Tamandua tetradactyla: one gene and its partners. The protein of the gene in region 3 interacts with the protein of the main gene of each other region in a pairwise test. Links are inferred from orthologs where the notes say so. Each region holds a gene or a part of one and is shown on either strand. Other genes may lie near its edges. The genes, in order: FAM13C, LARP1B and KIF2A.

Region 1 (7,943 bases), on a different chromosome or scaffold from region 3:
TTATGTATATGTGCCAGATTGCAATATAAAATGATTTTTTATTGTTACTCATGTCAAATGAAATGTGAAATAATCTCCAGTAAATGATTTTCTTTGTAGTTCTCATCAACCAGATTTGAACTCTCAGGCTTCTTAATTTTTGCTTGCCCAGGCCTTGCATTCATTTCTCTGTGAAATGCTCAAAGATGGTACTTTCATCTATATTCTGACTTTTAGTCCCTTTATCACCCCACAACAACGAAAAATTATATGGTGCTTCACAGCTCACCTTCTTTCTCATATTATCTCGTTTAAGCCTGACAATATTTTGAGGTAGGAACCACCTTCACACAAGGAAGGAATCGTCCTGGATTCCAACTGTCGGGGTCATTTCTGCTCCATCACATTGAGTCCAGAAAAGCGGGAACCAACTATTCTCCTCATCTATTTCCCCCAGGGCTCATAGTACGGGGCTTAATAAACTGAGAGAGGACTACTGATTTCTTAGAATAATGATGGTGAAAGAAGCACCCTGGGAGGTTCCCTTTTCCAACTTAGAACAAATAAAAAGAGAGGCCTCGGACAGCTTATCAGAAGAATGTAGTTCTTCAGCACGAGAATGGGACTTCTGTTCAGCCCGAAGCATCATGGCGTTCTCCAAATGTGACCCTAGAACCATCTGCATTAGCACTGCCTGCACGGCATCCCTAGCCCCACCCCTACTAGATCAACTCTCTGAGGGTGGGGCCCAGGAACTTAACTTTTTAAACCAGGCAGCCCCTCTTCCCACATAATGAGTATGTTTCTAAAAAGTTTAATACTGACCTAAAAGTTTCCAAAAGCCAGTCCAGGGCTTGGCTGACTCCAACACAATCTCCTATCTGAGTTCCCACTTTAGGAGAAAGCCTGGAAACTGAATTCTCCACAAGTCCCTTCTCCCCTGTTGAGTATGACGATGAGTTGGGTATGAGAACCGCTGAAACAGAGGGTAACCAATCAGAATTCACTGCATTCTAGGCTTCATTTCAAATTGCAGGTTAGCCAGAGCAACATCTGAAATGACTATGGAAAAGTAATGGATAAAAGTGGACACAGAAGGAAAAGGCAAGGCCATTCCAATCTCGGAAGAATTGGGTAGAAAAAGAAATGGAACTGGTGCAGAGCTGCACAGACAGTGCCAGGCCTGGAGAAATCTAGAAGTGAATAAAATCTGTCCTAGAATCCCTCCCAATTCCACTTCCCTAGGAGTCTTTTAAGACCCCTGCCTAGCAGGGAATAACTGATAGAGTAATTCATATTAAAGTATTAATGACAACTTGGATCCCCCTCCCAGGAGCACATATTTTTAAATTTCCATTTTAATAAGGGTTCACCACCAGAGGCCTTAATCCAAAAGAAATCATCTCTAGGTGGAATCTCAGGCACTAAAGAAAATAAATGCCTGAATTTTAGGGTTGGGGTTGGAGGCAGGAGAAAGAGGATGTTTTCTTGGTATCCAAAATATAAGAGAGGAAGGTATCTGCTCTGCCTATGTGAAGACCTTACCGGAATATTTACTGAGCACCTGCTATGCTTATGTCTCAGTATTGTGCACCCTGGCCCAGCTGGTCAAGTTCAGGGATCGAAGAAAAAAATGTTCGTGTAGCGGAGGAAAGTAGGAAGGAGAAACTGTTATATGAGTCAAAAGCTAGTTTTAAAATGACCCTGGTCTGTGTTTGGTAGCACACATGAAGCTTTTGTTATGTTTTAAATATGCACTTTAGGTTTTGTAAATTAGCCAGATGGCATTCCAATTGTCACTCAGTGCATTTTAAAATAAATCACTGTCACTTTTCTGAAAGTAACAACATGATCTTATGCAATCAGAACTCCTTGGGGTGTGTCCAAAGACAAGGTACCAGACCTTCCCAGCATTTAACTGCAAAACTTTTAAGAAAAACAATATTGCCATGTAAAATCTGGAACTAAGCGTCTCCATTTTGAGGGTGCTATGCCTACATAGGGGCTGAGTGGGGGAATTTGGCCACACAGGGCTCTCGAGAATCAGGCCCAGGAAGTATTTGGTGCCTATAAGCCCAGCAAAGGCATGAGGGCAGCACCTGTGCACCTGAACCAGGAAGGCCTCGGCTTTCGTTGCCTGCCTTCCTTGGCACGCATCCCTCTTCCTTTCTCAGACTTTTAAAAAACCAAAGTTGCAGCACAGGTTACCAAGCAATATCATTAATAGGATGCAGGCCCAAATGAGTATTTTGCATTGCATCTTCTAAAGTCAATACTGTTTTTTAAAAATTGATTCCATTCCAATGAGCTCAAAGCTGAACACTAAGAGAACAGCACATCCAAACAGAGAAACAAAAGAATGTGGGGAACTAGAAGGACTGGGAAGCACTGTAGGATTTTGGCCTTCCATCCCCAAGTGGCAGTGATAGGACTTGACATTCAAATTCTATTTATTAGTCTTCCAAAGAACTTAAACAAACAGCTTCCAACCTATTTGGGCTTTCTGTGTTAAATGCAGCATTTATTTTGTTCTTAAATGTAGCTGAGTATACAAACCTATATATGCCCTTTTCCTGAAAAGCTGTTTAGAGTGACTTCTACAAAAAGGTCCCAGAAGTAAACATCCTGAGTTAGTCTAGAGACAGATTGCTAGATGTAGTATATACATCACATACATACATATACACATATATAAACTATATATAAACTACATGCACTATTAGTAAAACACACTACATATTAATTTTAATGTATATTATAGTAAATGCAATAAAATATATTAAGGAAGCAATTATGAGAATTAGCAATGAGCTATAAATATTCAATAAAAATAATACTGCGCCTGCTGGTATTTTGTAGAACATTACACTCCTTCATCCCAGGCTTAAACGGTGCTAGTTGCCCTAATCAATAGCTTTTACTGTAGGGTCAGATTAGTCATTATCCCTATATTCGGGTCTTTAGATCAGAAAACAAAAAAGACAAAGGACATACAAGAAAAGTTTACTCTGCTGTAGTCTTAAAAATCTGGAGACAAGAGATGGTGAAGATAAGTTTAGCCTGTTTATCACATGCCTGCATTCAGTTCAAGTAATTTCACATCCATCTCCTATTTGTTAATGTATACAGTGTGCACTCCATGAAACCTGACACCGATGTTGGCAAAATATAACAAAGCTTCCTTTCTAACATGTCAAATAGATTTTTTTAAATGTTAGCTCCAAGAACACATATTTTGGAGCATTTAGCTCCCGCATGCATTCAGCTGATTTTAATATCTCTCTCGCAGCTGTTAAAAGGCTGATTTTAACCTATTAAGATTTCTGGGCCCCATCAGTCAGCACGTCTCGCGATCTTCTCAGCTCCAGATTACAGAGAGACAATGCATCTAATACGACGAGCAGTTGGGGACCGTACCTTCAAGATAGTAGCTGCTTCCAGAGAAAAGCATGCAAGTCTTATTTTAATGCCAAGAATCACTTACTCTGTCACAGCGGTGCTGCCGAAGGAATTATCCTGAAGGCTGAAACAGAAACAAGAAAACATCAGCTAAGTCCGGCGGGGGAGCCGTCTCCCTGATTGCTCTCGGGGAGTTAGAGCACATACACAAACATGGCATTGCAAAGCAAGTCTCAGGGCTTGCCCGGCGCGCTCGCTCTACCTTGGGCTGCTGTCTGCACATGCTCGCAACGACACCCCCAGCAGGGGCCCAGCCGCACCGGCGAACCGCAAAGCCCGGCAGCCCGCGAGGCGGTGGGAAGCGAGCCGGGGAGCTCGCGTGGCGGGACAAGCACCACGGGACCCCCGGGCCCCCAGGAGGAGCACCTGGAGTTCCCGCGCGACCCCGGCCTCGCGAGCCCAGGCGCTGGGTTTAATTCAGGCCTTTCTGCTGCCAGCCACTCTGAGGCTTGGGAATAGGAGTGCCCGACTGCTTTTTTTTTTTTTTTTTTTTTTTTTTGTCCAGGTGCTGAGAGACCCAGGAGACTTGCCTTCTTCCAGACGTCTCCTACCAATTTTACTGAGCTGCTCTACCTAGGGTCGGAGGCTCACAGAGATTCATCGTCAAGAAAAGCAGGGAGGGGACGAGAAGGGGGAGAGGGACATTGCTTTCGTGGGTTTTTTTTTTTCTAATTGTTTTATTGTGTACTGTTTTTTTTTTTATTGCCAAGGAAAAGAAGAGCTCTGAAAGAGGGCTCTCTGCATCACACTCGATCTGTCTGCACAGCTATTTCAGTTCCTAAAAGGAAGCGCCCCGGCAACGGACCACAGAGCTGTGAATGAGCCCACGTAGGGCGCGTGGAGAAATTTTTTCCAGGCACTAGCAGGTGACTAGGACCCGTGCAAGGGGTGGGACTTGCTTCTCCCAGGAGCAAGTCACCTGAGTTCTATCCACAGGCACCTTTACAATGGATGGAGAAATCAAACCAACGAAAGTTCCTCCTTTGAATAAAGGCAGCTTTGTTGGGGGAGGGGAAGGTTATCAGCCCCCACTCCCTTCATTCCCCCGAGAATGGTTGTCCTGCCCTCTTTTCCTGGTCATTTTTCTTGCCACGTTGGCCTTGGTATGGAAGGAGTGCTCATCTGTGCCAGATGCTTATTTTAAGTTTTGAATTAAAAACAGCCTACTCCTCTTCTTCCCTTCCCTCCTTTTTTAATCTCTCTTCTCCCAAAATCAGCTGAGATGGTGGTTTTTAATCTAAACTAGTTGTATCAGTGAGTTAATTCATCACCAAAAACACCCATAAATTTTTATTTTGGGATAATTAGAAAAATTACCCAAAACCTGGAAATAAGGGGAGAAGTATGACCTTTCAGTGTCATGAAACTAAGCACTGTTTAATAGATGTATTCAAGTATTTGTTAATTCTCTAGGAGAACGTACTTGTGTTTCATTTTATTCACTAGTGATTAAATCTCAGACACTGTGAAGTTACATGTTAACTTACAAATTTTGTCCAGTCTGTCCGGAAGAAAAGATAACTTCAAAGTCTGTTGTTTTGTTGCACTGTAGGATGCTAACCAATTTTGAATCGAACCTAACAATGTTATAATAACCTTCTTTTAAAATGCCTATAACTACTCAGATCCTCAAAAGTGCTCTTTTAGAGCCAGCTTGACAACCTTACAGGTTTCCTCATTAATGAGTTAATAGATCTTTGACACCTGACCTACATTTTTATGAGAGTCATGATTTTTTATGGCATTTTATTTCTTTATTTTTTTATTCATACATATAAGCTGTTATAACAGAGCAGGAACAAGCAGCACTGATAACTTCTAAATCTAGAGGTTATTCAGTATCAACACCCCCCTAGTGGAGTGACACCCAGAGACAACTATACATATAGCATCAGAATGCCAGCCCACCACAAATTCCATCATGGAAATTCACTGTCTCTCATTAACTTAATAGTCAGGCTTTCAACAATACAGTTGATTGGCATATTCATTGTTCTCTTATGCTTTTGGCTCATTTTTTTTAACTTTTTTTTTATTGTATGGTATACCATATATACAAAGCAAAAAAATTAAAAAGCAATAATTTTCAAAGCACTCTTAAACGAGTGGTTACAGACCAGAGCCCAGAGTTTGTCATGGGCTACCATACGATCCTCTCATATTTTTCCTTCTAGCTGCTCCAGAATATAGGAGGCTAAAGGGCGTAAATACTTTTTTTTATCACAATCGACATTTTTTTCCTTTTTTTGTGAAAAATAAATATATATACCAAAAAGCTATAAATTTCAAAGCACAGCACCACAATTAGTTGTAGAACATATTTCAGACATTGACATAGGTTACAATTTCAATTTTAGGCTTTTACTTCTAGCTGCTCTAAAATATTGGAGACTAAAAGAGATATCAATTTAATGATTCAGCATTCATATTCATTTGTTAAATCCTATCTTCTATGTGTAACTCCACCATCACCTTTGATCTTTCAGTCCCTCTCTTTAGGGGTGCTTGGGCTATGGCAATTCTAAATTTTCATATTGGAAGGGTCTGGCACTAATATGGGGTAGGGAGATGGAACTATCTGATGTTCTGGAGAGGCTCTCTCCTCTAGGTTTCAGAACTTATCTAGAGTAGAGACCCATCTGGAGGTTGTAGGTTTCTGGAAAGTTACTCGAGTACATGGAACCCTTGTGGAATCTTATATATTGTCCTAGGTGTTCTTTAGGATTGGCTGGAATGGTCCTGGTTGGGGGTTGGCAGGTTATGATAGGTAACCTGAAGCTTGCATAAGAGTAACCTCCAGAGTAGCCTCTTGGTTCTATTTGAACTCTCTCTACCACTGATACTTTATTAATTACACTTCTTTTCCCCCATTTGGTCAGGATGGAATAGTTGATCCCACTGTGCCAGACTTGGATTCTTCCCTGGGAGTCATCTCCCACATCGCCAGGGAGACCATCACCCCTGGATGTCATGTTCCACGTCAGGGGGAGGGCAATGATTTCACTTGCAGAGCTGGGTTTAGAGAGACTGAGCCACATCTGAGCAACAACAGAGGTCCTCCAGAAGTAACTCTTAGGCATGCCTATAGGTAATCTAAGCTTCTCCAGTACCTACATAAGCTTCACAAGAGTAAGCCTCATGATTGAGGACATGGCCTATTGATCTGGGTGTCCCTAAAGTTTGACACAGTATCAGGGGATTCCCTGATGGTAAGGTTTAATAGTTTCATACTCTTTCTCCCTTCCCTGAGGGGACTTTGCCAATACTTTTTGATTATCTGCTTAATATACTCTAGGATATTTCCAAGTATTACAAGACTCATGTTTTTATCTTTTTAAAATTATACTTTGACAAACCCAAATTGGGTGTTCAAAGAAAAACAGGTTTCATTAAGGTCCTTTGCAATTTTACTTTCCTTTCTCCGAATATTTTTAAAAGCTTTTGAATAAAAGCCTAATATGGTCTTAGACTAGAACTTCATGGACTCACATAAGCTTAGAGGTATCCGACCCTCAGATGTTTAAATATAAGGTGTGTGTGTGTGTGTGTGTGTGTGTGTGTGTGTGTGTATACATACATGCTCCAAAACCACCCACTATCTCATATAAGCTGGGTTCAAGAGTGCTAAGAAACGACCTCTTCACTATAAATTTGTCTTCATTATTTATAAGTGAATTATAAATAACTTTATATAATAAATAAAATTATTATAAATTGAGGTTCTTTCTATTTTATTGAGACTGATAAGAATATGTCTACACTCAGCCTTCTCGATTCTACTGCTTCAAAGGTTGCCAGTTTTCCAAAACCCCTTTCACTAATTGGCTATGATACTGACTACAAATACTCTACTGCAGAGAAAGGTCAGACTTTTCTCACTGTAATGAGGATCCTTTGAAAATAACATGAAATAACAATTGAATTCAATAAATTCAGGTATCCAATAAATGTCCACAGAGAAGAAGTAAGAATTCTTATCAACTCAAGAATAATATGGAACAAAATTAAGTTTTAAGTAATACTCATAATCAAAACAATTTATAGATATAGTTGATTATGGTTAAAAACACAAGTGCCCCAGAAACAAACCAACCAACTTGTAATTTGGCAGTGTAAAACTTATAATCTGTATTTCTAAACTAGTTCTTACAGCATTATTTCTTTTCATCTTAAATCAGGCTTAGAAATGGTCTATACTGGCTTGTCATTCATTAGCTTATATATGCTACACTATTCAATTAAGAATAGGTCAATACTGATGATAACTTGCAAATTTTGTCCAGTCTGTCCAGAAGAAAAGATAACTTCAAAGTCTGTAGTCTTATCATACTGTAGGATGCTAACCAATTACAAACCTAACCTAACAGTCTTATACTAACCTTCCCTATAATTCATACAACATCTGATTATTTTGGAGATCCTCAGTTTGACTAAACTCAGTTCAAGGACAGTTCAAAACGAGAAGCAGAAAAACTAACATTTCTCTTTTTGTAGACATAACTTCT
Region 2 (7,796 bases), on a different chromosome or scaffold from region 3:
TCAGCAAACTGGTAGCAATTTTTTTTTTTGGAGGCGATACCCGAAGTTCTATTTTTACAAAGAAACTGCACGTGTGCATTATTTATATAATTTTCTTAGACTGTTATTTCATTGAGGTATTAACAGTAAAAGCTTATTTGATGCAAATATCAGGTGCAATAGAGTTAATGAGAAATATGGGGTCAGAGACTAAGGGTGAAAAAGTTGAAAAAAATACTTTCATATACCATGTTTTTGTGATAAAACTGAAATTATACTAGAAAACTGATTTTTAATATGCAAGGCATAAACATGGCAACGGGTAATAAAATCCCATGCCCATGATTCTAATAAAGGGTTTCCAAAATAAATAAAACTAAACAAGATTAGCATACAGATGGAGGAAGTCCTTTTTGGTCCCCTGCCTGAATTAGGACAGCAGACACCATGGCAGGCCTCTTGGGTGGGCCACACTTTGGCTAAAGGGAAGACCAAAGTGGTCTTATCTGGATCAGCAAAGACAGCAATACAACCGCCAGTGCAATCACCCTAAAAGTAGAAGAAAATCTTTTCACAAGGACTGAAGAAGCAAGAATCTGTCTTGCTTATTTATGCAGGTTCTAAAATAGAGATTATTCATGATTTATACCCTGAAATAGATCCCCGTGTTTCCTGTATTATTTCTACCTCTGGTAATAAACTTCCTGACAAAATTTTGTGGGTGGAATTCCTTTACTTTACCCTAAGAGTAAAAACATGCAATTTGGCCAGAACAGTACTGGCTTAAATTTGTTATCAGAGTATAATGAATAGTGCCCCCTATCCCTCTCTAGAGTATCCTAGTTTTAGGATAATTTATATGGACATGCTACTAATAGGTTACTGTACAAATTGGACACTTCCTGCTTTACACCTACTCAGAACCTAAAGGACCTCTGTTCCCATTTCATTAGTTCTGAAAGCTGCAAGTTTGCTTAGGAAAATCGGAAGCCAAAGGTGCCCATGTTATAATTTTAGATGCCACTCTGGTATGGAAGTGGAGTCCACCCACTTTCATTCGAGGCCCAGAAGGCTTGTCAGAAGTCAACTAGCTAGTTAGGAAGAAATACTTTGGACTACCAAATCTCTCAGAACAATGCATATTTACACCACAATCTCTTATCTGAGTTATCTAAGTTATTCAACTGCAAATTTGTCCAGGCAGAAAAGTCAGCTTGGAGAGACTATAAAGCTACAGCCCTCCAGGCCTGCAGAACGATATTCCTGCAGGAGCAAATTAGACTTCCAAAGACACAAAGAATTGCCTACAGGCAAACATCAGCAAAATCAACACTCCTACAGAACCACACCACCTTCAGGCATCACATTGTTCTTAATCCCTACCGCAGACCACCAAAGAAGTACAGGTAAAATTAATCACACAAGGCTGAAAGAATATTTTTAACAAAGTCGTATCCACTTAAAATCTCTAGTTTCAAATCTGTCAAATTGACTTTACAATCAACACAAGGCATTCAATCTTCGGTAGGTCACAGAATATAATAGATAATTATGTTTAAATCTAGATATAACAGGAAGGTGAGAAACAGCCAATAAGATGAATTACTAGGGCTTTCCTTCCAACTAAATTTTTTTGGAGATCTTCCTTAAGAGTGTTCTCTTCAGTGAGGGACAGGAATTAACAAATCTCTGCAGTTAGGAGAGAATATGGCAGTATTACATTAGGCACAAATTTTAAGTACTTTTTTCTTCAAGTGTCTCAAGAATTATCAAGAATTAATGACCAGTAGGATTTCTGCGGAAAAGATAAAAAAACTCAATTAACTCAAGAAGTTCCTCTTAAGAACATACCGTATCTTTTATTTCATTTGATCCCCACAACTCTGTAAACACGCTTATTTTTTTTCCATCCCACTGTTAGTCTTTAACTTGAAGAAGGCTCGCAATAAGTAGTTGCAATTTCTACATAAAAATTCAATTAGTTTATTGCAAGCTAAGTTATAAAACAAACCAAAACTCTGGTCTTAGTTTTTCCCATTTTAACTCAATAAAACCGTAGTTGCTAGAACCAAAATGAAGAGCCTCGGGCCATATTGCATTGATCAGCACTCCAAATGAAGGGGCATAATCTCATTTTCACTATTTAAGAGAGCTGTTAGAAAACCACCATTTAAGAGAGCTGTTAGAAAACCACCATTCACCTAACGTGCAATCCACTCTCACGTCAACTAACCTAACTGCAATTTTTCCACCATATCCACAACTCAAAGCTTTTTAACAGGAGCTGCAGTATCCCCCCTTTTAATATGGCTACTCAGCGCGTCGAAAACATTGGGCTTTTTCAGCTCTTCAGTATTCCACAATAAGGTGACAACTGCGGTTCCACCGACGAATAGATTCGCTTGCTCCGACTCGGTTCTGCCTTTTTACAAAGTCCGCACAAACTTTTCCCTAGATGAACTGCAGCGTCTTCCTAAAGTTAGCTCCTTTCCCAAGCCACGCGCACGTGGGAAGCAAACACACCCCAGGCCGCGCCAGGCGGGCCACGCGCCCGCTTGACCCCCTCCGTACCCCGCCAGCCGAGAAGAACCTCGGGTCCCACCTCTACCAGCAGCTCCCTCCGAGATGTCCATTTATGTAAATATGCACTACGAATGACACCTTGGAACCAAATCCCTCCACAGACCGGCCAAGGAGGCCTGCCCCTCCCCCAGCCCCCTGCCCGTGCCCCCCCAGGGGAGCCACAGACCTGCCTCCTGGGTGTCCAGCGCGGGCGGCAGCGGCCCGAACCCGGCGGGGGACAGGTGCTGGGGAGGCTTTCTGGTCCAGGGGTTTTCCTTAGGCGGCGGCGGGAGCGCCTGCAGCTTCTCGGGGCTCGCCGCCGCCGCCTCCTCCCGGGCGTCCTCCGCCGGCGAGTCCCGCGGTGGCCGGGGCAGGGGCGGCGGCGGCTCCCCGCTGGAGGGGCGGCCGGGCCCGCGTGCCTTGTGCGCCAGGTGCAGTGCCAGGGGCCGCACGGGCACGGCCGCCTGGGGCACGCTGTGTCCCAGCACAGGCGCCGGCGACGGCTCTCCCCGCGCCCCTGCGCTGCCGGCCGCCTCCTGGCCCTCTCGGTCGGCCGGGAGCGTCTGCTCCGGCGGCCGGCTCGCCGAGGCCGACAGCGAGTCCCTCTCAGCGGCCCTCACGGGCGGCTCCTCCCGAGGGTGCGCGGTGGGCATCGGGGCGCGGTAAGACATCGTCCCCTTTCCCCAGCCGCCGCAGCCCGGGAGCGCCCGGGGCCAAGGAGCCCGGCTGCCCGTGTCTCTGACGCGATACCGGCCGGCTCCGGCCTGAGGCAGAGAACCCGACAGCCCGGCCGCCGTCGCCGCCGCCACCCTCGCCCGCGTCGCCCGAGGCCGTGCAGCGCCCGGCGCGCCGCCCCTCCCCGCCGCGAACGGAGCGCTAACCGCCCGCCGGCGCGGCCCGCCTGGGCGGCGTGAGCCCCGAGGCCGCCGACGCGCGCCGGGCACCGCAGCGGGGAGCCGCGAGCCCTCACCTAGCGCGGGCGGCGGCTGAGGCGCGGCGAGCCGGCCGGGACGAGCACCTCAGGCCGGGCGACAGGGGCGCGCGCCGCCGAAGCCGGTAACCGCGCGCGGGGCGTGGAAGAGCGCGACCCGGGAGGACGGACGGGGGCGGGGCTTCCCGGCGGGAGCGTGACGTGGCCTCGCCCGGCCGCCGCCCGCGGCCGCTGACTGACAGCCCCGCGGCCCGCCGAGGGGCGGGAGGAGCGTCCCAGAGACCGCCGCGGGGTGCGGGCGGGCGGCGGGGTGCGTCCCGGGCCTTGGGGCTCGCGTCTGGCCGCGCACGTGGCCAGGCCGCGGCGGCCCGGGGTTCCCCAGGCGGAGCCGGGCAGAGGCGGGGCGGCCCGCTGCCCACCCCGGGCGACGCCTCGGCGGTGCCGACCGAGCCGGCCTGCCGTCGCCGGGCAGTGCCCCGCGGAAGTTCCCCTGGCGCTTCGGGCGCGGCGGCCGCCGATAACCCTGAGGCAAGGCAGAAAAGAAAGCGGTGCTGCGCGTGGGTGACTTGAAACCTTTGCCCGGACACTTGTTTTAGTGCCCTTCCCCGCCCCGTTGCCCACCCACGAATGCAGAGGTGTTTTTTTTTTTTGTTAAGTGCGCTTGAGTAAAACCAATAGTTAATATTTCGCCGGCGTTTTTAATTTGAGGAGATAACCCATGGTTACCAATTAACTACTCCAAATTTTTTTTCCTGGAATGGGTATGCAAAAATAGTACAAATATGTTTTGAAAAAAGTTCCGATAAGAGCTTTTTACTTGCTCAGAATCAAGTAGTAATCAAACTGATTTCATGTGCGCGTGTTTGTGAGTCCGGGGCCGGGGCCGGGCCGGGCGCAAAGATATTTTTGTGGCTGAGGGCTCGCCCCCCACCCCTTGCCCCAGGCCCCCAGTCCCCCAGTCCTCCCCGATTTCCCTTAGAATGGTCAAGGCAGGCATGTAATTAGTACATGACACCCTTCCCATCGATCATGCTCTAACTAAATTAAACTCGAGATTAATTTTTAATTTACTCATAAACTGCACTAGGGAAAAGCTACTTGTTTTCCTAAAACCAGTAAATAATCCATACATTACAACAGCTATAAGGCTTTTCTTGTTTTCAGTAATCTCCTGTCCCTAACCAACCTGGGGAACCTGTTTCCTATTAAATAGGGATTGTCCGTCCACATGTATTCGCAGAGAGACCGCCGTCTTTGCCAGCTCTGCGAAGCTTTATTTTTAACTACCATCTAGCTGCTTTTCCTGCTAGAATCAAACCTCTGGAGTCCTGCCAGTTAATGCTTGCCTCTCTTAAGATAGCCTATCGACAGATTCACTTTCGCTGTGACTCAGAGAACACGTTGTAATTTACCGTCCGTTTAAATACATGTGGATTTAACCCTCATTCGTTTGAGAAAAGGGCTCTGTGGAATGGTTTTCCAAAGCTTGATTTTGTATGGGCCTTGTAACCATGCTTGGTTCTTTTCTTTGTTGTTTTTAGGTGAGACGTCATACATGTCATCGATCGTGGCGATGTCAGCACAACAGTGGAAATTAAAACTACTGAAGTATATACTTGACGGTGGGTTAGAATGGCAAATGCTATGTTGTACATATTACCACAATGAATTAAAAAGAAAATCATACAGGGGCCTTCTCAAGTAAAGGAGCTTTACTGAAGGAAAAACTCCTTCAGGGGAACTTTCTTGGAAACAGGTTTTAGTTGCAAGGAGAGAAGATCTGGAGGGTGATTGTAAACTCAAAAGAGTTCTAGAGAACTCTAGGTTTCTTCACTGTAGTGCAGTGCTACTAACATCAATCAGCTACACTACCGAGTCTGCTACTAGTTGGTCCTCTTTAAAATGCATCCTAATAACGCCTGCTTCCACATAACAGCCTCTTGCAAACAACTTCACCTGTCTTCTGTTTGCCCTGTGTATTTCTCTCCACCCTTCTGCTCTTGTGCCAGGGAGGCCTGACCTTGCAGATCCCTAAAGGACTTCCTCACCTTCCGTGGTATGAGGATGGGTTCAGTAGAGGAAGAGTTCAGCGGGAGATTGGAAGCCAGAGGAGAGTAAGGTCATAGTCTTCATTGCCCCAGCTGGGTCCTGGGTTGACTGCAGTGCCCACTTTATTAATCTCCAATTTCCCTTTGCTCCCCAGGCCTCGGAGTAATAACCACCATCCTTATCTTGTTACCTTATCTCTGTTGGTTTCCCTGACTCTTGCCCACACCTCTGTAAATGGTCCTTTATTAACTCTCCTCAAATAACCCAGTTTGAGTTTTCCTCTTTTTTGCTACCCATTTGCCATTGCTGAACCTCCATTCTCTAACCTCATTCTACCTCGGCTGCTTACTGCCAGATTCTTTCTCTGCTGCTCAATTCACATTCAAGGAAGAAAGACTGATTGGCTCACTTTTGTTTCTTTCAAGGCAGATTAGGCAAATCATTAGCCAATCTCTGGATTATCTGCCCTTGGGTAGTTTACTCTCCGGGCCTAGAGGAACAGGTTATTTGGTTCAAAACACAGCCATAACTCATTGGGATGCGGAGGAGTGCTAGTTTCCTATAGGTATCTGTGACAGTGACCTTAATTACATTTTATTTTATTTTTCCCTATCTTAGTGAATGGCACCACACATAAAGCTGAAAAGCGAGCGATGCCTAGGACTCGGCCTTTCTCCGTTTAGGCCTGTTTGATAAAGTTGTGAGGATTACATGAGATAATATGTGTAAAATGCTTACCACAGTCATTAGCTTAGTGCTAGCTATTTTTATTGCTTTTAAATCCATAGATTTAGCCAGCATAAGACAACTTCATTTTACAGAACTACTGAGGTTAAAAGCCTGCTTTGTTTTTTGGCTTTTGTTGTTGTTGCTGCTGTTGTCGTAAAAGAGAACTTGAATCTAGAGCGCAGGTATAGATTTATCTTTTCGAAGGAAGAAGAATGGTTCTCTAGGCCCTCAGAGGTTATGAAACACTCTCCTTATACAAACTTGATCACATTGTTCAAGTGAGCCTTTAAAATATTAATCCTGTTTTTCCTGTTTAGAGTATGTTAATGAATCATGAGATGAATAAACCCGCCCTTCTCCCTCCCCAGGTGTCTCAAGGAAATTGAAGTCCCTTGCGAACAACGTACTGCTTTTTATTACCAATACCAGAGATTTATTTTCAGGCTTGTAAAAAATCCAATGTGCAAATAGTTGTATTGGATGCTAGAGAAGTTTCAAAGAATGCATTAGATATAATCTGTTTCAGAGACCTACAGTCTAACAAGAAAATAAAACTGAACCCAGGAATTTATAACTTCCTATAAAAAGTAAGTTTTAAGGAGAGCTTTGGATTTTTTTTCTAAAGATATACTGACTGTCTTTGCTCCCAAGATTCAGAGCCTTGGGCCCTGTTTCTCATAATAATAGCTTCTATTTTGTACTAAATGTTCAGATAAATACTAAATACTATTATTTCTAACCTTCAAAGCAGGGTTAGTGCTAATGCAAGTCTGAAACCCTCCCCCCATAATTTCCATTTGACCCCGCCCCCTGTTGAATACAATAACTATAATTCGAAAGTACAACTGACATTCAATTTTATATAAAGTGGGAATAAATGCACTTTTAGAAATTTTTGTTTGTTCATTTGTTTTACTGACCTGTAGCATACAAACAAAAATGTAAAACACTTTGCTTCCTATGTAAACCTAGCTTCAATTCTAGGCTGTCTGCCCACCTGATTTCTCTCCTAAACCCCTCGTAAGTAGGGAATTGTGTAGAGCTCTTTACTTTTAGGTAGGTTCTAATAGATCAGTTTTATAGAAGGAACTCAGCCAGTATAGCAGGGTTAGGTACTGAGACTCAAGTCTTCCTTTTCTGCCACACTGTTTAACCTTTGCTGTACTAAAACTTGTAATAGCACAATGATAATAACATTTAATCTTTTAAAAAAGTACTGGAATAATATACTGTAAGGTCAAAGAAACATGGCTTTTTCTCTCTTCAAAGAACCTGGATTTTTAAATAAGAGTAGGAGAGGAAGACAGTAACCTTTTCTAATTCTTCCTGCTATCCAGTTATATGTAATATTAGCATTGTCTTATGAAAACTGGTATGACAAAATTGAGGTCTTTAAATTCAAGTTCATATGAACTTCAGTAGCTGACATCAAAAAATAAACTTTCATAAAATTTTAAAAAAAGAAAAAAATAATAAGCTTTGTAGAAAAACTGAGGGAAACTTTTTATTCGTTTCTTACATATTTCATTAATAATAGAGAGGGCTG
Region 3 (7,979 bases):
ACTAAAGAGATAATGACAATTAAATGTAATACGTATGTACTACTGGACAGGATCTAACAATGGAGGAAAAAATGCTCAAAAGAACATTATTGGGACATAAGAAAAAGTTGGAATATAGAATGTAAACTCGCTAACTCGATAACTGGACTAAAGTTGATTACATAAGTGAATATTCTAGGTCATGGATATGAATATGGGAGTATTATGTTCTAGGATTATAATGTGTGCAACTTGTTCTCAAATGTTCAGAAGATATAGATGGATAGACAGAATGATATGACTAGAGCAGCAAAATGTTAAAACTGACAGATCTGGGTATGCGGAGGGCCTTGGCAATATGTTCAAGTTCTCTACATGAGGTTTGTATTATTTTTGCAACTGTCCTATATTTACTATTTCCAAATAAAAAGTTAAAATATTCAAGGAACTCTGCTAGGCACAAAGGAGATACAAAAGCGAATTCAGGTAAGTATCTTAATGCTATAATAAATACCTTGGCACTTTGTAGGATTACCTACCATCCCTCTATTGCATTCTCCATACCATCTCTTCCTTTAGTACAGTCTGAAAATATAATATTAAGAGAACGGTGCCCAAATATTAATACTTAAGAAAATGCTGTCTCGTGAGAGATACAGAGTGACTTAGAAAATCCAAGGGAAGAATGCCCATCTAGTTTTAGGAATCAGTTAAGACTTATTCAGATTAATTTTTGAGCAAAATCTTGAAAGACAGGAATAAGCCCATCTTGGTTTCCCTGTTTGTCCTTGGAATATGTTTTATTAATATATGAGCACTACTGATGAAAAAAGCATGGTCTGAAACCGAGACAAGCATTATCAGCAAGCATGCAGAAAAACATCTAGTCACCAGTTAATAGCAGTCTCAAGCAGCCCTTCTTCACACATGTGATTTCCATTGTCTCAAGTATTAAATTAGGGCTCATCCAACTACAAAGCTTATTTTTGTTACAATAACCATTATGTTTTATCCAATACTGATCTGCTGAAGTAGTGGGAGGAAGCGAAACAGCTTCTTTAAAGTGAAAAAGGAAAAAATTGAGAGGCGTCTCTAAGAAATCAATTCCTATTGAGAAATACAACCATCTAATGGGAATAATCATTCCCTTCTTCACAAGATCTCTATCTGTTGTCTTCCACCAACTCCATTTCACATCTGAGCACCATAAATATGCACAGTATTACATAGCTATAACTTAGGATAATATACCTTGTAAGTAAACCCTTTACAATTACTATGAGAAAGCTGCTTTTTAAGCATAATTTTAGTTTACTAGCACATATGTAAAAACACAAAGGTCTCATATTTCTTGGAATTTCTGATATAAGCTGAAGTAGGGAAGGAGCTAAAAGCCTCTGTCCTAAAAGTCCAAAAGAATCAAAATTACTTCAAGCCCAATACATCTAAATAAAAAATGTCAGCCCAGAAAAAAAAAAAAACCTTGAAAAATGCACCACCCTCTTGACTGTAATAGGAATTCTACTTTCTTCTGATAACAGATTTTACATCTGACACACAGTCATAATTAAAGGCTTATAAGAACGTAAACAGTCAACGAATGTATTGCACCCAAAATTTAAAACATAATATGTAAATCCTACTTTTGCTAGTATACAGGAAACTGATATTCACCTAATTAAGAAATTACATTAACAACACTGTTATCAGGAAAGTAGTTTCAAGAGAAAATATAAAGAAATGCCAACCCAAGTAAAGCAGACATCTCTTTCTCACTAGTGTTATTAGTAACTGCCAATGTTCCACATGGTATAATTTATCTTTTCACACACAGGACAATGATTCTTCCAGTTGCTGAGACAGATTATCTCGAACATGATAAAGGAAAAAAATCATTAGCTACACAGTCTTCTGATACATAGATAAAATTCAATCTAGCTTCACATAACTCGGTCAAACTTGGTAGATACCAAGAGAATGTGGTTGAGACAGCAATGCTCCTACTGACTAGGCTAAGTGAAAATAAATGAACTACAAATTTAAAAAATGGGTATAGATAGGCAGAGAAACCGCACACCCCTGCATGCACACCCGTAGTCCCTTCAATATTCAAACTGAAAAAAAAAAAAAATTTACCTATCTCCCTCCAGGTATTTCCTCCCTTACAATATACATTATTTTCAAATCTGGCTGGCACAACTCACGCTTCACTCGAAGCTAATGAACGACATTTTCCCCAAGAGGAATCTACAGAAAGATATGTAAGCCTGAGGCTTTAAAAAAAAATAAATAAGGCATGTGTCTTCACGTTCCCTTCCACTTTTCTCTCAGTTACCTCCTCCTCGGGTGTGAAAATATCAACATCCGGTCGCCCACCCCCACCCTCGCAGGGACTGTGTGCTCCCCTCTCCTTCCCACTGCTCCCCCACCCCGGTCATGGGGCCGAGCAAGATCTTCTCCACATTCTTCTCGGAGGAAAAGACTCACAAAAAAAAGAAACATGGTCCAGAAACGAGAGCCGAAGAGGCCTGACAACCACCAACGGTCCTGACCACCCCCCAGCTCGGCCTCCGGACCAGGAGTCGGTTCCCGAAAAGCTGAAATCCCTAGTGCTCCCCGCCACCCCCCGTCAGATGTATGGCCGGTAAAACGCAAAGACAGGGGGAAACGGGCGGCACGGTCATCCCTAACCAAGCCCGTTCCCTCCCAGGACGGAACCGCCGGGAGGATGGAGATGGCCGCAGAAGCCAAGGGGCCGCCTGCTGGCTCTGCCCCGAGACCCTCCATCGCGCCGACCCGCGGCCCCCGAGCCCCCACGCCCTCCTCAGGGAGCCTCCCCACCCCCACCCCGCAGCGGCCGCCGGGGGCCGAGCCCACCGCCGTCCTCACCGCACACCCGCACACCCGCACACTCGCCACACACAAAAGCGCCGCGGCCCGCGCCTGCCTGCCCCCACCGCCCGGCACCGCGATCCATGAGGCAGCCCGCGCCCGCGTCCGCGTCTCGGAAACCCCAACGCCGGGCAGGGCCGGCTGGGCCCGCAGCGCGCCTCACCATCGCTCCGCTTGATCTCCACGTAAATCCCGATCTGGATCTTGCCGAAGTTGGCCGTTGCCATCACCTCATCGGGAGCAGCGGCAGCCGGCCGAGGGAGGGGGACAGGAGGGCGGAAAAGGCGGGGAGGGGGCGGGGTAGGTGTGGGAGGGGGAGCGGTTGCCCGCGGCCGCGCCGGCCCGGGCGACAGCGTGAACGCGATCCGGGGCCGCGAGGAGCAGCGGCGGGGAAGCGGGCGGAGGTGCCCGGCCTGCAGGCCGGCGGGAAGACGCGCACGCCGGGGCGTCGGGGTGAAGCGAGGGCCGGGGCCGGGCCGTGAGGCGGCGCGGGGAGAGTGGGAGGGCCCGCGCCGCCGGCCGGGGAGCAGACGCCGGGGGGAGGGGGGCGGGGCGCCGCGCGCCTGCGCAGAGCGCGCCTCCGGCATCTCCTCCTCCTCCGCTCCCCTTTCGGTGCTGCCTCAAGGCGGCCCCGCCCAGTACCGCGACGGCGGGCTGGATCTGGCGGGCGGCGGCGGAGTCTTAGTTCCCCAGAGGACCGGAGTGCACGGGCGTTTCCGTCACGAGTCGGCGTCGCGTTTGATTTCAGCGCGCGGCCTAGAAGAGGCGGGGACCCGCGCGCGGGTCTCTTCCTGTTACTCTGGCTCCCACGAATTGGCGATGCTGCCAGAATGGATGAAGAGCCCTTAGTTTCAGGGCTTTCCGGATGGCGCGCGGGGCTAAGGCATGTGAATTTAGCGACAGGCCATTGACAGCACGTGCTTGGTGATTTATCTGATGGTGTCATCACTATTTGCCACTTGGAGGTGGCTAGCCCAAGTAGCCCTCCTCAGGTTTCCCATCTCGTTCTGAAAGATGGAAAGAAACACCTATAAAGTGCCACACACCCTAAGACCCGGAATGAATATTCTCTTTTTTCATGGCCTTGCCTCTTAGCTCATCGCTGCTCAACAAAGAAACCCTGCAGAGGAGCTACTTTGACTCTTCCGTTTATGATGCGTCAGATGCTGGTGTCCTGGCTCTGCTCAAGGTTCAAGACTTATGGCCCTGGACTGCAGAGCCAACGGCTGTGACTCAAGGACAGAGGGCAGACACATCAGGTTGACTAAGGAACGATCCTTTTCTGCGGAGTCACTTGACTAGTTTGACCACATCAGCAACATAGAAGGCAAGACTCTCCATCCTGAAAGAGCAAGAAGGCAATGTGAACCGGGATCATGGAAACCGTGTTTATAGCACCGTGTAAAATCCTCCAAAAGCATGACTTTTGCTCCTAGTATTGGGACTTGTGAAGAAAACACACTTTTTCTGCCCTACTTTTTCCCCAATCTTCGTTAATCTCCCTGCAATAACCATTAAAAATATAATTTCAAAATTCAAAAACTGGGATCTGGTTATATGTGTGCAAGTACATATATGCATGTATGTGTGCACCTAGAGTTTTCAATAATAAATCAAAGCAAGTTGATCCTAAGAAAATTTGTTTAAGGACTTGAACATATTGGAGGTATTCTTGTCAAAAGAAGAAAGTCACATATCCATTCTAAAATAGGCAAAATTTTTTTCTATAAAATAAACTCTGAGTAGACCATGAAGAAACTAATTCTTGCTTATATATTCCAAATATTCCATTATTTTTGGAAAACAGAGGTACGTTTCAGACCTCTTTCAGAATAGGGTTTGATCAAATCAAGGTCCCATTTTTACTTTTTTTTAAGTTAGGTTTTATCTGAACTTTTTTTTAGCTCATGTCTAGTATAACTCATGCTCTGATGTCTATATGAGTGAAGTATAAAGCATCTATTTGCTTGCAAATTATTTAAAGAATGCAAAGTAATCAAGCTGTACAGCTATTAAACTTAAAATTGTTTCATAAAATATTATGCTTTATACATGGTTGCTGACACATACTTTACTTCCTATGGGTAGGCTTTCAACCATAAATGAAGGTATTTAAAAATATATACATCATCCTCATCCATAAAAATGTATGAGATTTGCTATGTGCCCAAGGTAAACAAACATGAAAATCTTTCCTTTATAATCATACTTAAAAGCTTATGTTTTTGGTACGCTGCAGCACATGTATTTACCAAAACTTGCATGGGTTTAATAGGGTTTAATATATGGCCCCCTGAAGAGCAGCCATAAAGGAATGCAATGTGCCTCTTTCCCTCAATGACCCTGGATCAAAAATTCTGACTCTGGCTCAGACATTAACAAGATATACAACCCTAAATAGATTACTGCCTGGCACACAGTAGGAACTCAATGAGTTAATTTAGTAAACTGCTTACATCTGAGTTACTTACCTCTTTGATCAACCTGTATTAATAACTTCCATTCTGTCAAAGTTTTTGTGAGAGTCAAATGAAAGTAAAATGTGATCATGCTTTGGTATTTATTAAGTATAATATAAGGTAAAAATGAAGTAATACATCCGTGTTAGTTAGATTCATTTGTCAACTTGGCCAGGTGAGCATACCTAGTTTTGTTGCTGCGGACATAAGCCAATGGTACTTGTTGCTAATTACATCTGCAGTGGGCTAGGAGGCGTGTCTGCTACAATGAGTGACATTTAACTTAATTGGCTGGTGCTTAAATGAGAGAACGCAATGTAGCACAGCCTAAGCAGCTGGACATTCCTCATCTCAGTACTCACAGCTCAGCCCAGGCCTTTGGAGATGCAGAAAGAAGTCATCCCATGGAAAGTTGTTGGAACCCAGGGGCTTGGAGAGAAGACCAGCAGAGACCATCCTGTGCCTTCCACGTAAGAAAGAACCTCAGTGGAAAGTTAACTGCCTTTCCTCTGAAGAATTAACAAAATAAATCCTCTTTTATTAAAAGCCAATCCGTCTCTGGTGTGTTGCATTCCAGCACCAGGCAAACTGGAACAACATCCTATAGGAAATAGTCCAGTACTCTACTACAATCCTCAAATCGTTATTACAATTTTATATCCAGTGATATAAAATTAACAATTATTGCCTTCTTGACAAAAAAAAGGGGAAAGAAATGTAATAAAATAAGGTTGCAGTGGCTAAGAGATTTCAAATAGAATGGAGAAGCTCTTTTGGAGGTTATTCTTATGCAAGCTTTAGCTAGATGTTACAAATTGTCATAGTATACCAAGCCCTAACCAAACAGTATTCCTGAAAACCCTAAAGAATACCCAAGGCTCTATGTGAGACTCTATAATAGTTTCACTCAGTTTATTTTTCAGAAACGTAAAACTTCTAAACTGTTCCTATGCCAGAGAAACCCTGTGTGCTGGTTTGAAAGGATTTATATGCTTTAGAAAAGCCATGTTTTGATCCCAATCAATCTTGTGGAAATAGCCATCTCTTTTAATTCCTATTCAGTAATGTAAGTTGGAAACTTGATTAGGTTATCTCTACAGAGATGTGACATACCCAGTTGTGGGTATTAACCTTTGATTAGGGGGAGATGTGACTCCACCCGTTCCACGAGGGTCTTGATTAGTTTGCTGGAATCCTTTAAAAGAGGAAGCATTTTGGAGACAGTCATTTTTTAGAATGATGAGAGAGCCACAGAGTCCCCCAGCCAGTGACCTTTGGAGATGAAGGAGAACACCCCCGAGGAGCTTCACGAAGCAAGAGGACTGGAGAGGAAGCTAGCAGACATCACCATGACCTCCATGTGACTTTCCAGTTGAGAGAGAAACCCTGAACTTCATTGGCCTTTCTTGAGTGAAGGTAACCTCTTGTTGGTGCCTTAATTTGGACACTTTATAGACTAGCTTTAATTGGAACATTTTCTTGGCCTTTAAACTGTAAACTAGCAACTTACTAAAGTCCCCCTTTTGAAAGCCATTCCATTTCTGGTATATTGCATCCTGGCAGCTAACAAACTAGAACACTCTGAAATCCATAGGTACCAGTTTCTCCAAGAACGTCAACCACTTGCATCCCCCTACCCCATGATGTCAGTATCCCTTCTCAACATGAAATTAGAATGATCATTGCCCAAATATTCCTAAAGATTGAGAGAAGGATCAAATGAGAGGGAGGAGTTGTAATAGAACAGATAGGATTTAACAAACAAGTATGACTACTGAATCTTTATATTGATATTTCTTTTCAGTTTCCAGTATATTAGAGCAGGAAGAAGGAAATATCTGAAATTGTAGAACTGTAACCCATGCCATACTTTGAAGTTTGTTTTGTAAGTACTTATTAAAATGTACTTTGAAATTAATTTTTTTAATTAATTAAAAAAATTTTTTTTGATTAACAATTATCAATTTGACCTCTGACCCTTATCACCTCATATCAAGAAGAGAGCAAGAACTTTACTAATCTGCCTGTATCTTTACCCAATCTATTCTATCCTACTCTTCACTGATAGAATAGTCTTGTTCAAGGACCATTTCCATCAGGTCATGTCCTATGGCTGCTGTTGGCTTATTTTATCAATTTTTAATTGATAAACCATTCACTTTATTGTAACCCATCCAATCTTTATATGCCCAGATTTCTTTTTCCTTTGGGGTCATTAGTACATAAACCTTACATAGTTAGTCCAGGGGAATAGGCCATTAAGCTAATGAGATTTGAGGCTGGGGCTGGCACTCAATTTAACCAATAACCTACTCAATGAAGAGCAGAGATGTAATTTAACTCCAACCCTATCTCATTATCTGTCCTTGTCTATATATTCTAAATTGAAATTTTTCCATTCAATTTTTGGATCTATCCTGAATTAAGTCCACAAAGTTCATGGGTCTGTAATCAAGTGGAAAAATGGATGGGGCTGGCAGAAATTTTTTTTAGCCTTTATTGTTCACTTTTTGCACTGGACATTTTTAGAGCTTTTTGGTAGTCAGCAGTTTTAATTCCTACTAAATTTATACAAATTTTAATTCTAATTAAACTGGTGTAAATAATACGGTTATATATCTTAGGCCTTAAATAAATATATTAAAAAAC

The links.
Region 1: the proteins of KIF2A (region 3) and FAM13C interact in binary tests that used the Homo sapiens proteins (3 or more experiments, as listed by UniProt). The two-hybrid records come from large-scale screens. The link is inferred for Tamandua tetradactyla from reciprocal best matches to the Homo sapiens genes KIF2A and FAM13C.
Region 2: the proteins of KIF2A (region 3) and LARP1B interact in binary tests that used the Homo sapiens proteins (3 or more experiments, as listed by UniProt). The two-hybrid records come from large-scale screens. The link is inferred for Tamandua tetradactyla from reciprocal best matches to the Homo sapiens genes KIF2A and LARP1B.

The regions. Positions count from the first base shown.
Region 1 is NC_135339.1:37,932,297-37,940,239, reverse strand, and holds the start of FAM13C (protein FAM13C), read right to left. Parts: upstream 3,631-7,943; 5' UTR 3,526-3,630; coding exon 3,464-3,525; intron 943-3,463; exon of another isoform or gene 805-942; intron 1-804.
Region 2 is NC_135348.1:40,332,950-40,340,745, forward strand, and holds the start of LARP1B (la-related protein 1B), read right to left. Parts: upstream 3,571-7,796; 5' UTR 3,512-3,570; intron 2,871-3,511; exon of another isoform or gene 2,729-2,870; intron 1-2,728.
Region 3 is NC_135335.1:109,443,542-109,451,520, reverse strand, and holds the start of KIF2A (kinesin-like protein KIF2A), read right to left. Parts: upstream 3,258-7,979; 5' UTR 3,099-3,257; coding exon 3,035-3,098; intron 1-3,034. UniProt on the Homo sapiens protein: Plus end-directed microtubule-dependent motor required for normal brain development. May regulate microtubule dynamics during axonal growth. Required for normal progression through mitosis. Required for normal congress of chromosomes at the metaphase plate.